Lepisosteus oculatus: one gene and its partner. Each later gene encodes a partner of the first gene's protein in a complex. Links are inferred from orthologs where the notes say so. Each region holds a gene or a part of one and is shown in the gene's direction. Other genes may lie near its edges.

What was found.
Region 2: timm21 (region 1) and coa1 share a complex: the UniProt entries of both Homo sapiens proteins name them as parts of the MITRAC (mitochondrial translation regulation assembly intermediate of cytochrome c oxidase complex) complex. The link is inferred for Lepisosteus oculatus from reciprocal best matches to the Homo sapiens genes TIMM21 and COA1.

The regions. Positions count from the first base shown.
Region 1 is NC_090701.1:376,326-384,419, forward strand, and holds the start of timm21 (mitochondrial import inner membrane translocase subunit Tim21), read left to right. Parts: upstream 1-5,046; 5' UTR 5,047-5,296; coding exon 5,297-5,582; intron 5,583-6,334; coding exon 6,335-6,397; intron 6,398-8,070; coding exon 8,071-8,094. UniProt on the Homo sapiens protein: Participates in the translocation of transit peptide-containing proteins across the mitochondrial inner membrane.
Region 2 is NC_090701.1:24,137,003-24,144,980, reverse strand, and holds the start of coa1 (cytochrome c oxidase assembly factor 1 homolog), read left to right. Parts: upstream 1-4,918; 5' UTR 4,919-5,009; intron 5,010-7,012; 5' UTR 7,013-7,076; intron 7,077-7,978. UniProt on the Homo sapiens protein: Component of the MITRAC (mitochondrial translation regulation assembly intermediate of cytochrome c oxidase complex) complex, that regulates cytochrome c oxidase assembly.

The DNA.
Region 1 (8,094 bases):
GCACAGTTTTTGCAGCCTGTTTCCATTATAAAGTTTTATAACATATCCCATTTTGCTGACCATTACACATATACTGAATGTTTCAATACTCTGTTTATTTTGGCCAGGAAATTAAACATATTTAATGACTTTATAAAAGTTTTGCTTAAGGAGTATTATTGAATGTCAGGTATGGCTGCATTACTTCTTTGGCTCTGTCTTGTTTTATCTCAGGCTGTAGATGTTAAAACCTAAACTCCTTCTTCTCTCTGTCCTGGTTTCTAATCCCAAGTACAGATCATACTGCATTGTTTAGATGGTCTAAAATATGTGATCTGTTTAAAACCTGAGACAAGTGATATGTGAAGATATGACACCAGCCAGCAACCTGGCTGTGTAATCGACTGCTGGGTCTTTGAACGAGGAACCTGAAAGAAGGCAGAGCTGGAGGGAACAAGGTGAATTTCCAGGACTGCTGGCAGAGCAGACACAGTGGCATGTTCATGTTGCCATAACTACCCTTCACAAGTAATGGCATTCTGTGAAAGAAACTGAAATTAAAGTCTGTGTTTTGCACATCAGGGAGTAGAATTAAATTAACAGAAACAACTAAACTGGTAGCTATGCCAAATCAAATAGCAGAGATCGAATAGGGAAAAAAGAGAAAAAAAAATATCCAGACTAATTTTTCCCAGCCAGCTCTCAGCTTCGTTAAAGCAGCAGAAGAGAAGAGTGTAACATATGAAACAATGTTAAAATAGGAACAGCCTTAACCCATCAGAATATCAGAACATGCAGGGAAACACATACTGCACTGCACGTGTGGCAACAGCAAGGAGGTCTTGAGTAGTTTAGAGATGTAACCATTTCAATCTTCACTATCATGCAATACCCTCAGGAAAGCGATTCACTGGTGATAATGGCCATTAACACACAGTTGGACTGCAGCTGCTGTACTGTAGGTGTCTTAATCCAGAAATAAAGTCAACAGGTTCTGGAATAGGTGTCTTGGCCTGTTCAGTCCCTGATCTGATTGAGACAGTAAATTTAACAGGAGAGGTAAAGAGAAGACAGCAATGAGCACCTTCTGTACATGCTGATTATACACAGGAGTATACAGGGGTGACTAGGGCTGATCTGACAGCAGTCTTCGGGGGTGCACTGCTGACATTGTGTGACAGACTCACTCAGGTCTGTGCAGGGGGGGCTGCCAGCATAGCAACATTTTGATCTGTAGTCGATTGCCACCAAACATCTCATTTCCTTTCCAGAAGGGAGAGGACATTTCTGCAGAACACCCGTTTGTGCAGAATCTTTTTAACTTGTACATAGTAATTCCAGAAGATCCAAAAAACATGGTTTTGTATAAAGTGAGATTATTTATTAATTAATTATTCTGCTAGGTATCAGATCCATGATTACACAATCATACTGTCTTTCTATAACTCTATATACCATCCCATAGTGTGCATTGCCCCCTGTACTTTCCATACTAGGTGTTTATTTACAAATAGGGTTTTTTTTAATTACGCTTTAACTGTTTAGTCCCAGATGGGTTAATGAACTTCAAGTAATACCCAGGTTGCTGATAAACCATTGCTGTTATCACTGACAGGCATGCCACCATGTAACCCATTTACTTACAAGCGCCTGGGTGTGAATGGCAGCAGAAAAAAATACACATTTACCAGCAGTAGCTCTTTCCAATTTGTTGGTACACTAGAACTGCAATTGCAACTACTTCCTAGTTCTTTACTTCCAGTACCAGGCAAATAACAATACTGCCTCTAGACTGGTAGATTCCCTAGATCCGTGTGTGGTTCCATGAAGTAAAAACCTGGCATTTCTTTAAAGAATCTGCTCAACAAAGTGTGTTAATGGTTTTCCTGTACTTTGTGTGAGTGTGAGGGAAACGGCACAAAGCCGCCTCACTCACTTGCCCGGGCCCCTGTCACAGAGAGAGATTTCAGACGGGGCTGAGGTCACGTCTGTAACACTTTCAGCACACTGAGCAGCGTTACACAGAGACCTTCAAATCTAGAACAATTAAGTCAGCAATTCATTCAAGAAAGATCATTAGAAGTCCAGGGAGAAATTAAAACTGCACGACACCACGGTCCCGCAGAACAAGCGATGCGCTCCGGAATCATTATTAACATAGCGCCACCTTTACAGCCTTTCCGACGCAGTGTGCACCGATTTCGAGTCCATTGAATTTATTTCCTCTGCATTATAACCACCTTTGTGCATCATAACGTCAGTCATACATGAGCAGCATTAATTTACTACAAAGAAAAAAAATACTGTTCCATCATATATACAGAGAAAAGCATATATATATATATTAAAAGTTTCGGGCTCGGCGAGGACGTACTCGGTGACTCGGACACTCGTTGAGTTAAGAAAACAGCGCTTTTATTAAACTTCGGTACACCCAATCACAGCACACCTGCGCCCGCGCCCCAGCAGAGCAGAAGACTGACTCTGGAAAAAAACGAGCAAGCGCCTGAGAGAATCGAGAAAGAGCAACACACTGGGGTCTACTCGGGTACCTACACCGGTATAGGGTGGCAGGTATTTCGTACCTGGTGCGAAACCAGGGAACTATTTACAAGAATCCGAGTGATCTCCCCAGAATGTACGCCAGTACAGTGGGTCAGCTGCACTGGTCAGCGGCTTTACTAGTCCCCCCCGACCACTACTACTCCCGTCCTGCCTCTCGCCGCGCACCCCAGCCGGGCGCTCTTCGGCTGCAGCGCCAGGCGAATGCGCTACAACAGTGGTTCTCAAACTTTTTGGACCAAGTACCACCCCTAATCCAACCAAAGCATCCAAGTACCACCTACAAGTCATCATCTCATAGAAACCCCAGAAACTATCAATGACCAACATGAGCGCATGTGCACACACACTCACACATACATATAATAAATATTATAATAATAAACTTTGTTTGATATATTAAAATGTGGCTTCTCAAAGTGTTTTACAGAAAAAAAACAACACATAAAAATAAAAAAGCACCTGTTTAGAGGGGTGAGCCTGTTTAGTTGAGCAAAGCAGATGTGAATTAATTTTTCGAGCCTTGATACAATTCACAACAGTCTTAACAGATTTTAAATCGTCAGGCATTTTCTTGACGGCAAAGGTCTCGCGGTGGATGTTGCAATGAAACCATTAATTTCTGGAGCAACCTCTCTAATTCGTTCAACTACACCGCTGTGTCGGCTTGTCATTGCTCTAGCACCGTCTGTACAAACTCCGACACATTTTATCCAGTCGATGCCATTCTCTGCGATAAATTCATTCGAAAGCTGAAATACGTGCTCTCCTGTAGTTCCTGTTGGTAGCGGCTTACAGAACAGAAAGTCCTCACGGGACGTACCCTCAAACTCCTATCTAACGTAAACGAGCAAATTGGCCAAATCGACTACAGACTCATCTAATTGCAGTGAAAAACATCTGCTCATCTTAACTCGCGCTGTCAGCGTACTTTTGATATCATATTTCATTTCAATAATTCTATGAATGACTGTGTCTTTCGGGGGGGAGGCAGCAGGTCGATCTGTTCAGCAGCTTTTTCTCCACACCTAATAGTGTGGGGCTTACCTGCTTTAGCAATCCGCAAGCGTGCATTTTTCCACGTTTCCGTTTTTATTTCAGTGTTTATTTTAAGTATTTATTTCATGCGCATGGGAGAGAAACACAGAGACGCTCGGTGTATTTTTGTCAAATTAACTTAGAACAATTTTAAAATAATTTTCTGTTATTTTTCACGCCTTTCTGTGCTCACAAGATTACCAGCGTTCGTAGAACGCATTTCTATGCATTCCTGTGTTTACAACGTTGGCATTGTTCCAAAATCACGCACATTCTCATTTCTCCCTATTTGCTGGAGATACAGTAGCTTTTTTTAAATACAATTGGTCACTTGCGTCCGTAGCACGCATTCCTATAGAGTGGTATAGAATTACAGAGTATCTCTTGTGTCCACTGAAGTATTAGCGCGCACTGTATCGTAGCACCTAGGCTGCGTATTCGACACGTATAAAAATACAAAATATGAAAATCCGTCCCGATTTTTTCAGCGCACACAACACAGTTCCAGGGTCATTTGGCGTACCACTTGGCGGCACGCCACGTACCACTGCCGGTACGCGTACCACAGTTTGAGAACCACTGCGCTACAATATTATTGTTTTTAATATGCAATTACAGACAGCTTTGTCGATCAACCATCTCTGAATTAAATCACGTTTTCTCCATGGTCATAAATCCAAGAGACTTTGGCCAGTTGTTCTACATTTAATTTATCGTAATCTCTACATCTAGTATCAGATTTTCAGTTGTCTTGTCTAATATTGTTGTGACATTTTTTGTGATCATTTTACTGTAAGCGGGTTTCTGTTCTTTCGGGCTTAAACCAATGAAATCACAGCTCCGGTCAGGACTACATTTGTATTGTAACGCTACGGCGTTCACGTCGGCCCCCCACCTTCGGGGACTCGAACCCGGGCCTCCAGCGTCACTCAGCAGGGACCCAGCCTCTTGAGCCTAAGGGGAATCTCCCGTCAGCCCGGCGGCTGCGGTCCCTGCTATTCACAGGGAAGGGCGGTGACGTCACCGCGCTGGTCAGCCGGCTCTCACGAGCAATGGAGGCCGTATGCGTTACAACTATAAATATATATAAAAGGAACGTGTCCTTAGCAATATAAATACTTAACACTAAAATTTTAAAAAAAACGTTATTATGTATGTATATCAAAATCGAATTCCTTATAACAAAGGATAATTTTCAATTTCAACAATATAATTTCATATTGACACATTATAGTTAACCAAGTTCATATGGTTCTGATTTATTTTATGATACAAATTAAATTAAAATTAAGTAGCATAGCAACTCGCGTGTATTAGGCGACAATCTTGCAACACGATGAGCATCACTAATCGAGCCCCGATCAACAGGCTCGCTGGCTTGAAACGGTGCGCGCAGTGCATGCTGGAAATTGTAGTTTGCCTCTCACGAGTGCCTCGCTGATACCGCTCAACTTGCCTTACGCGAAAACTCCAACTCCTACAATCCCACAGCTGCATAGCGTTACTCTGCAATGGCGAGGTTCTTGGTGGACTACCTACCGAAGACTTCTTAATTAAAGTTACTATCAGTCAAATACACGCGGATTTTTTTTATTTTGCAAAGTTTAGGTGTATTGTTTTTGACATTGCGTTCGGTCAGCCCAAAGCCCATTTTTTGTTGTTGTCGCTTTTTATTAGCATACTTACAACTGTGACAGTTTTATTTCGAAGGGGCAACATGCTGTTTTATTTGATACTGAAGTCCCAGCAGGTGAGGTCAGCCCGGTGCTGCGGCTTTCGATGCTACCGACAGTTGCACAGGGACGGCGGGAGCTTGCAGCGCGCCTCGCCCACAGCTGCCGTGCGGTCCGTCTGTGCGGCCGGGCTCCGCAGCGCCCTGCACGTCCCCAAACTGGGCGTCCTGGCCGATCCCGGGCTCAGAAGGGGGAAGCATGAAAGTTCAGGGCAGTTACCCGCGCAGGGGCGCCGAGGCGACACTTCGACACTGTCCACAGCCCAGAAAGGTGAGGGACTGGCCCGGGAGCCGAGGTCGCGATTTGCCCTGGACGCTATCTGGGACAAGGTACTCACGGTGGAGCTGGGTGGCCTCCCGGTAATTCATTGGTGTAGGCAGGAAGACAGTGATACCAGTTTCCCTCGCTGTCCAAAAGCAATGACAGTGTCAAGCCAGTGGATTTAAGAGTGAAACAATAGCAAGAGGACAAAAATGGAAACTGCTTGGAACTGCGTTTAAAAGTTTACTCAAAGGGCTGTGCGAGTGTGGAACAAGCTACCTTGCCAATATCCTGGTGTAGTTCAAGAAACAGCTGGGTAAAAGCTACCAAACTAGCTACTGTAGGTGGACTGAATGTCCCCATCTCGTTTGTATCCTTTCTTAAAAGGTTTCTGGTAGGTCTTTGTTCTTGGTGGACAAATGAACTGTGTTTGCAAGAATGCTCCTTTGGAAAGTGGGTTAGAGTGAAATTCTGAAACAAGTGTGTATAAGTGTTGCTGGGCAGCAGAGTAGAGTGGTGGTTAGGTTAAGACGGGGAGGTTGGGAGTTCAAATCCCAGGGGCACTGCTGCTGTGTTCCCGAGCACGGGGCTGCACTCAGACTGCTGAAGTAAAATAAGTCTGTAAAATTGGGCACAAGTGCCGCGTTGCTCTGTTTAAAGGGCTCACTCTAATAATAATAAAAGTGTTCCCAGACTGTTTAGACTGGCAAGTATTTTTAAAAAGAGAAACAGTAATGTGCTCTCTTTTCTCCTCCTTGCAGTCAAGAAAGCTGGGAAGGATTTCACGTATCTAATTGTGGTGCTTGTTGGGATTGGAGTAACAGGTAAGTTCTCGTGACCAAGGTGACAGGAGCTTCCTGTTAATACACATTCATTACGGAAAACGGGTGTGTTTTTATTGTTTCATCAATTTAACATCAGTTATGTGCATCTAAGATTTATTATATTTTCACATATGGAAATCAGTTTCAAATTAGAATGCTATAATGTACCTGTACCATATGCAATCCACAGAAACACCAAGAGCGTGAAAACATAAGAAAGGTTACAGAAGTTATGCAAAACCCTGCACTTGCCTGTATTGTCTTCAGCCAGGCGCTCACCCAGTCATGAGATCCACATTGGAGCCTGTGATGGCAATTCTATCCCAAAGGAGTGGGGGGGGCAGTGTTTCATTGGCCTTTGTGTGGGTGAACTGTGTCTGTAAGCAGGAACAATGTTTGTGCAAGAACAACGCTGGAGCACGTCCTCTTAAAACAGATTGAACTGCATATCCTAAAACTGTGTAAGATTTAAAAATATGTCAAAACACAGATCCGGGGCTGTTGTCCACTGCATGGTGGATGAATGCAATTCGATAGACCAAAGAGATAAGAAGTCAGACAGCGAGGTGTGAACTGAGGTGAAACATTACTTTGTCTTTTATCAAAGTAAAGATTCGCAAAAACCCAGTATTTGAACACAGACACTGGTGGGTCACTTTTTAAAGATTTAATCAGATTTGCTTGTTTTACTTACATATTCAACAGTTTACTTCCAAAAATCCCAAATTAGTAGGAGTATGTGTTTTATGGTACCTGGATAAAAAAGAACAACCTTGCACTTCTTCAGTCCATTTTAAAACAGCCTGGAGATGATGGATGTTACAAGCCATTTTCTAGAACTGTATTTATGTTTGATGTTATGATCTTTTCATCAGTCTTAATGTAGAAAACGATCCAGTCAGTTTTTCATTAGTTTTCATTAATGTCTTTGGATTATTAACTCAGTGCAATTTATCAGTGAACATTGCAAGTACAAATGCAGATGACAACCATGTAAACAAAGGAAGGCTTTCCTGAGGTATAACAAGCTATTATTAATTACCTAATTATCTGTCAGTTCACCTTTTAACTCTGCAGAATGTTAATGTGTTGCTGGCAGCTCAGTGTTTGAGGTTAATGCACTGAAAACTACATCATGGTCATTATGGATGGGAGCTGAAACATATCAACTGCTTTTATGCACAATCATGAGTTTGGGATCATGGATAAATTCATCCATTGTATTGCTTTAACATGCTGAACACATTTGCATGCATTGTTTTTACTAAATGAATGAGGGCTATTGAATTTCATTTTTGCAAATAGTGAATTAAGATGCCATGTCTTCATTCTGTTCTTTTGGGGGGAAAAAAGCTTTCTGAATCTGTATTAGGTGGAGGAGTTGGTAGCCATAATTTCTGCATGACTGTGTGTCTTTGTCTTAATTACAAATCGGTTGATTTTCTTTTTCTTCAGTATTTAATACGTATGCTTTTTCAATTATTCTACAGTCCTATGAGTTCAGTTTAAAAAATCATTTCTGTTCAATTTCTCATTCATCTATTGTTGTTTGTATTATGTAGCCACAATATAAAAACTGCAACCACTTTTATTTATAACCTACTATACATTTGAAGCCTCAGAGCACATTGGATTGTTTTGATTAGCCCTCATTGACTCTCTCCTTCCTTCAGGTGGATTATTCTATGTTGTCTTCA
Region 2 (7,978 bases), about 24 Mb from region 1:
TTAACTATACTGAACCATTTCGGCATCCTTAACATGAAGGTATACAAAACAAAGAGCACACCTGGAACACTGTGGATACTGAACTCTTAAAGACTCCTGAAGGGATGGAATATGCCAGGGCCTATCAGAAAATCATAGAGCAGTCTGTGAATGAGGAGCCTCTGAGACTCACACTGCCAGTGAACAGAATACAATGTGGTGAAAAAGTAAGCACATGCCTCACAACCTACGTTTTTATGGTTCAACATATTTCGACATATGTGACCTTCCACCTACAGTAATCCTCACCAAGTCCCAATAACAGATAAAATAAAGCTCATTTGACAAAACACACAACCATTCTACTATGTTATTATTTCTTTAAAAATATCAGCCAGGATGCAATACCTCTGAAAGGATAAAAGGAATTCTCAAAATGTTTGTTAAAAGAATCTTTTTCTATGTCTTCCATAATGTTATAATATAGATCCACACAGCCTGAGCTAGAAAGGGAAACTGCCACCACTATGAGACTGGGAGTCAGGTTGTAGGACTGTATCCAGGGTCCCCCTTTCCTCTTGTGTGAATCACAACCCACAATGGCCCTGTCCATTCCCTTGAAAAACATTACTTCAGTTCTGCAGATAAGCTTTTCACGTTGTGTACGTCTATGTGAACAGAAAACATGCCTCAGACAATGACAGAAATTTCTATTTTAATAAATATTAGCACAGGAAATTATTACAGACACTAGAAGCAGATAAGATAAATATCTAGAGTATTCTACCAATTATTCTCAAAGAAACAAATGTTAGTCATAGACCATAATGAAAACTCTTCCTGAAGTCTGTTGAAACAGAGGTAATATCCGCTCACTGGAAAATATCTACCATAGCACTGATACATAATAATAGTGACCGCTCCATTTTATTGTAAAGCAATACAATATAGATTTTGTGCAAAATGTGCATAGGTATATACAGATTGAAAGTACCACAGTATAAACAGTATATTACTGCAGTGTCCAAAAATTACATTAGTGCAACATGCTGTCCATAGACAGCCTAGCCTAGGGCAGTGTTATACACCCTGACAGCCGCCGGGAGGAAGGACCTGTGGAAACGTTCCCTTGAACACCGTAGCTGGAGCAGTCTGTTACTAAAAGTGCTCCGCTGTCTAATAACAGTCCCATGTAGCGGATGAGATGCATTGTTAATGATGGCTGTGAGCTTGGTCAGCAATCTTCTCTCTGTCACCACCTCCAGGGGGGTCACGGCTCAGCCCCAAAACAGAGCCAGCCTTCTTGATGAGTTTATTGAGTCTACTTACATCTCTTGCCATGATGCTGCACCCCCAGCACACAACAGCGTAGAAGTTTACTCCTTAACAAACTTACTCCTGTTGGCAAACTTACTGAGCACATTACACTGAGAAGCAGAACCTTACTGGGAAGACTGCAGTAAAAATCTGAAATCGATATTTAAAAGGATTCACATGGAAAGACAAAACAAAAATCTTCTTAAGGTAGATGTCCTAAGGTAGATGGGCACTGAGAAACAGATACAAATTCTTGTAACAGTTCTGTAATGGTGAATTGGTAAACCCCAATTAACTTAAGTCATCTCTATGAAGACCAAAGACCAAATTGTCAGAAATGTTTTTTTTTTCTGTTAAAAACAAAACTTCACCAACTTCCACCCGTCACTCAAATATACAGTTAACATATCTTCCACTACTCTTCCGTTTCTAGACATCAACTTCTCCATTAACTATCCCTGACTCTCTACTTCAGTCTATTACAAACCCACTGATTCACACAACTATCTCCTGTATAGCTTATTTCACCCCAAACACACTAAAAACTCTCTCCCCTTTTCACAGTTCCCTCGGCTACGACGACTCTGCAGCGACATCGATTTCCAGAACCAACCCCTCAAAATGTACTCTTTTAGCATCAACAGAGGATACCCTAGCAGTGTTATTGACAGAGCCCTTGCCTGAGCCCAAAACATCCCTTGGACCATCAACTCAATCAAGAATTTCCGCCTTAACAACCGCATTCCTTTGGTGCTTCCCCACCACCCTCACTTCCTATCCCCAGGGCTATTAACGACAATTTTTCCATCCTACAGGATGATCCCTGCATTGGGGCTCTCTTTTCTGACCGAAACATCATCTCATATCGTCAACCACCTAATCTGCGTAACCTTCTTGTTCACAGCTCCCTTGACCGCCCTCAGCAACCATCCACACCAGGCACTTTCCCTTGCAACAGAGCTCGTTGTATCAGCTGCAAGAATGTATCTAACACCACACTCATTCAAGGCCTCTCAGAACAATTCCAGATCACTCGGATGACATCTTGTACCTCCAGCAACCTTATTTACTGTATTTCTTGCAGTAAACAGGAAGGAGACTCGGAGACTGCTTCAGAGAACGTGCCAGGGCTGTAAAGATTAAAGATTTCTCCAAGCCCATTGTTTCTCATTTCACCTCTGACGGCCATGATCACACTAATCTCTCCATTTGTGTTCTCAAAGCTGGTTTTCCTAATTCAAACATCAGAAAGACTACAGAAACTAAACGTATCCTGCAGTTAGGATCACACCTTTTTCCTCTCAATGACAGACTGATTTTCTTCTAAATTCTCTCTTTTCATTGTAGGTTTCATTTCACACCTCTCTTCACCTATCGTGACATCATACTACCTGATTGGCCACTTTGTCTGTCCCACGCTCCCACCTCTCGCCCCTCCTCTCTCCCAGCTTTTGTTCTCCTATGCTATATTACCTTTGCTTACTGCCCTGTCCTTCTTACACCTGAAGAAGGCTCCACTGCCAAAAAACAAAAAACATAGATGTACATACAAAAAACATGAATTTAGAAGTTTTAATTGCCACAGGATGTAGAACCAAGTCAAAACAATCTTCCTCCTCTGTTCTTCAGCTGAAGAAGGCTCCACAGCGAAACGTTGTTTTCTTTCTTCTCTTTTCAGCATGGAATAAACCTATTACTTGTTCCTTTGCAGCCTACGCATGCTGACGCAGCTACCCACCTGAACTTCCTCTTCTGTCATTTGTTTTTGTAAATAGTATGATGTATTTCGACAGTGCCTTTACTACAGGGAGCTAAATAAAAAGACTATTCCAGATTCTTAGCCAATTCCACATATTCAGGAAATCTTGGACATCTTATAATAATAATAATAATAATAATAATAATAATAATAATAATAATAATAATAATTGCTTACACTTATATAGCGCTTTTATGGACACTCCACTCAAAGCGCTTTACAGGTAGTGGGGACTCCCCTCCACCACCACCAATGTGCAGCATCCACCTGGATGATGCGACGGCAGCCATAGTGGGCCAGAACGCTCACCGCACATCAGCTATCACTGATAGTATCAGTGGGGAGGAGAGCAGAGTAATGAAGCCAATTCATAGATGGAAAGTCGTGGTGTTCGGTTTTAGACCTTTTTTCGACTTAATGAAACTTGGGATTTTATACAGACCCGAAAAATACTAAAGTAAAATATGTATTAATTCAGGTAAAGGGCTCGCTACAGTGCTGTACATTTCCATCAAACACTGCCGAAAAACCTGAAAGTACACCCAGGTCAAATGGTGAAGCCATCAAAAAAGTCGAAACACACAAAACCTAAAGCGTACTGTAGACCGCTAAAATAAATCCAAAACAAAGCCAAGACGAATAGCGACAAATCATTATCTTGAATATTCGGATTATCTTGTGAAGCCCTGTAAATTAATTGATCCATCACTGTTAGAACGCCTCTTATAACCTAAAAGGTCATTTCAAATATTTTTTGGACAACACTCGGATTATCTGACATCCACTGTCTCAAATGTTTCCATAAAGCAGATGACTCGTGCAAAGGAAAAGAGGTGCATACATCCACGACCTCAAGTGTGTCATATCCAACAACTGTCAAGCGAAACCTTTTAATTAAAAAAAATCTGCAAGCTAAGGGTTTCTGTCTGACCAAAGAAATTGACCAACATTGTATTAATAACTACTAAAACGCATAATACAGCAGTTTCACATCTCTTTCTGTCATAACTCAATAAACACCCGGGAGTCTCTTACAATATGATGTTTTTAAAATATATTACATTTCTACATCGGCCAAGGATACATCAATCATCACGAAAATTCATATAAAAACTGTTCATAACCCAATACTAATAATACCAGACAGATCTTACTTAGGGAACTCTTGGTAAAAGTGAGGCATGAAAAGCTAAACAAAACTTTTTACATACTTTTAACATGAGGACGCAGGCAGACAGTATTTAATAAAATACACTTTGGGTTATGTAACAATTTTACAGCTCACATTGATGCAGTGGCAAGCCTAAAACAAACTCTATAAAGAAACATTGCTTAACCGTTACCAAATATTAAATGTGTGAGTGTTTTTCAACAATACTAGATTAAAATAGACGAAATCAAACAAGATATAGACAATAAACTTAAAGACTGCATAAACCAATTTGCAGAGGTTACACAACACTAAAACTGAAAGCAGTGATGATGCATTCTTTATTTTTTCCATCTTTGCCATGTGGCGTTCATTAAAGCTATTCACCTACTGTAGCTTACCCGTCTTTTATCGTCCTTCTCTTCGCTGTCGCTCCTGTCAACTGCTGTAACTGATCGCTAAATGATGTAACTAATTTAGATACAACTTTCATAACTCGCACATGTCAAACAGGAGAGGTTTTCAGTGACGTAACCACACCCGGGCGTTTCTGCATAGTATCTCCTATCACGATATAACAAAAGGACTTAGGTCGGGGTGCATGGAGTAGATACGCAAGCCTTTTGATTACATAATGCCCCCTAGAACATTAATGATGTTTGGGATGTGAAAATATTTTAGTGTTAAGAAAACTGACCCCAATGTTGTGCTCATGTTAACCACTTAGCTTGTCTTCTTGTTAATAAAGATATGACATTCAAGACTAAAATGGCTGCCCCCTTGGAGGATGTGTAAAAAAATTGTGTAAGTCACTGTGCGATTTAAATGTCACTTATTCATTGACAAGTTTTGGTTTTTGATACAGGCACAATTCATGTTACCCAACGTGAATTCTGTTTATTTCGTTTTAAAACTAATTTAAATTAATTACGATGCAGACAACTCATATCTAGTCCAGCTTCTGTACTGGATTGATTTGATCATTTTCATAGAACCGTCTATTGCACCGTGTCACATTAATATTGATCTTTGATAAGATGATACTACATTTAACATGAGGTATACTAAAATGTTTATCGTAGCTCTAACGTCGGAATTACAGTATACATTTACTACAGTATAAATCCATGTTCAGCGCTAAAAATGTTAGAAATACAATACTTCACCTACCCCACAGTAGGTGATATTGGTATAGTGGTGAAACAAGTTTGGTGTCGACCAGGAGTGGGGAAAAATAGACTGGAGGATGTTAATTGTCCTTTTTACATGCTAGTCACTGGGGAAGGGAGTTAAGTCCTGAGAGAAAGAGAAAAAGGGACATCTTCTTGGATGGACACAAAGCAAAGATACAGAAAGGGGGATCTACCGTATCTATCTATTGTTATAAAGAAAAAAGGCAGGAGGAGGTAACTGTATCTGTCCACTCTGGAAGGTGTGGAGTGCTAGAGTATATTAAAGATGAAAGATTTGTCCATCTTAAATGACTACTTTTAGTGATCAAATATGCCTGTATATTTAAAATGATCTTCTGCTTGAAGACAACAAAGTCTTCAGATAAGAGGTGGTAATTGTGTAATTCCTTTAATTTTGACATGTTGTCATTACTTATTAGTGAATAAGAACATAAGAAAGTTTATAAATCAGAGGAAGCTAGTTGTGCACAGTTTTCTGACCTAACTCTTACAAGTGAATGGTAAGGTTTTAAATCAAATCAAATCAAAGTTTATTTATCCAATGCACAACAATACAGCGTGCAGCAGTAGTTGCTGGCAATGAAATGTCTTTTCTGCAAGCTCACGAAAATCACAAGAATCACAAAAATCACAAAAACACAAAAATCACAAAATTGAGGTTATGAAAATAAGGTTACATAATTATAGATGTAATAGAAATTGAATAAAACTCAATATGAGCAGAGCTGCTATGTGTCCATGGTGTATGCAGTATATGCAAGTAGTGCAGTTATGCTTAATACAGTGAAAACTTTGTGTCCATGTAGCCATTACAGGTGATTTGCTAAAGGAGCTGCAGGCAGTAACTTAACAGCCGTTGATTCAATTGTATGATATTATTTCTGTACTACTCTGTTTTCTGTTAATTTTCCATGTTGACTCTAAGCTTATTGCCATAGAGATAATCTTCCAGTTTAGTTCTTACAAACCGTTGCAGTCATCCCAATTTAAGTTCTTGCATCTAAAAAAAAACCCTTTACACCAGGAACCTTCTACTCCATCTCCCTTGTTTTATGAGGATAACAAGTCTCAGATTATCATAGTCTGATTAGATAGCTTCAGTACATGTGCTCTGGCCACTTTCCACTGGGTAGTAGCTAAATTTCATGTTCATGTAACCATGATTATTATTAGCCAATATTATCTGTCTTTCTATCTGTTCTTGATGCCAACACTGCCAACCCAACATGTTCTGCGGCAGCAATAGTATTTTTGTCCACTAGATGGCAGTACATCATAACAGTATAATAAAGGTTGACACTATTAGTTTCTTCCGTAACATAACGCCTTTTTTTGTCTGAACTTATCTTCCTGCTTTTTTTCTACAGAGGCTTGTCATTTTAAATGATGGTTGCATAAATTTAATATACTTAATATCATGCAAAGGTTTTCAGAACAACTTAAGCATTTGTTTGTAAACATTGTTTTCTGTATGTTGGTCCAAGCAATTTGAAAGCTGCACTTTCAGTGTGTAGTTTTTAATTATTCTAGGGAAAGAGATATAACCTTTCAGTTTAACACTACAGTAATTAATCTGGCAGTATCTTTTTCATTCATGCATTTTTCTCTTTGCAGGGTCAGGCGAAAACGTTATCTGGGTTTTTTTTTTAATCTGTGACTTGTAGAGCTACCAGACAAGGTAACCATAACTAGCTGGCATTCGGAAATCTCTTTATCATCCTCTTCTGAACTGAATTCCTCTTTCCTCCTTGAGAATATATTTTTTTCATTTCTAAAGAGCAGTCCGGTGTTTCATCAAACAAAGCTTTCAGGCAGTCTTTGGTGCAGGATAATTTCGTCTTCTGAGCTAATATGGAAAGCAATTTAATTGAGTAATGAAGAAGCCATTTTAGTAGTTCTGTATTTGTAGTAGAAACACAGATGTCACAAGAACATTCAACTGTAAAGTGTGTTTGTATTTCTGTGGATGTTCATTTTATCATTATCATTTGTTCCTGCTCGATAACGTAGAAAAACCTGTTTAGTGGAGCTTATATGATGGACAGTGGTCCAAAACAGGATCTGGCCCACACTATGACTTTCAAGTTAATAAGGTTAATACCTGTAAAGTTAAATGTCAAATACGGTTTTATTTCTTACACTAACAGCAGTACCAAATTGCAAATCGTAGTTGTGACCATCAGGAATTCTTAAATATCTTTAATGACTGTATATTTCACAATATCATTAGTACATGTAATATATAAACAATTTTAGGGTTTACACATGGTTAAAAAAGTTCCTCTACAATAAAGAGTTCCTAACATGTGGTATGTGCATATCATGCAATATATATGTCCATCTTATGAAAAAAGAAGCGTGGTATGTAGACACAGACTGATTAGAAAGCAAGATTCAAAATGCAAAAAGTTGCTTTAACCTGTATAGTTAATGATAACTCATTAGGGTGATCAGTACTAGACATATTTTCCAATATTTCTCCCTTAATACCTTAATGTTATAATGAAGTCTGACATTATGACATAATAAAGATTATGACATAATGAGGTAAGTGGTGTTGAACAGTAAGTGACTCAGTCA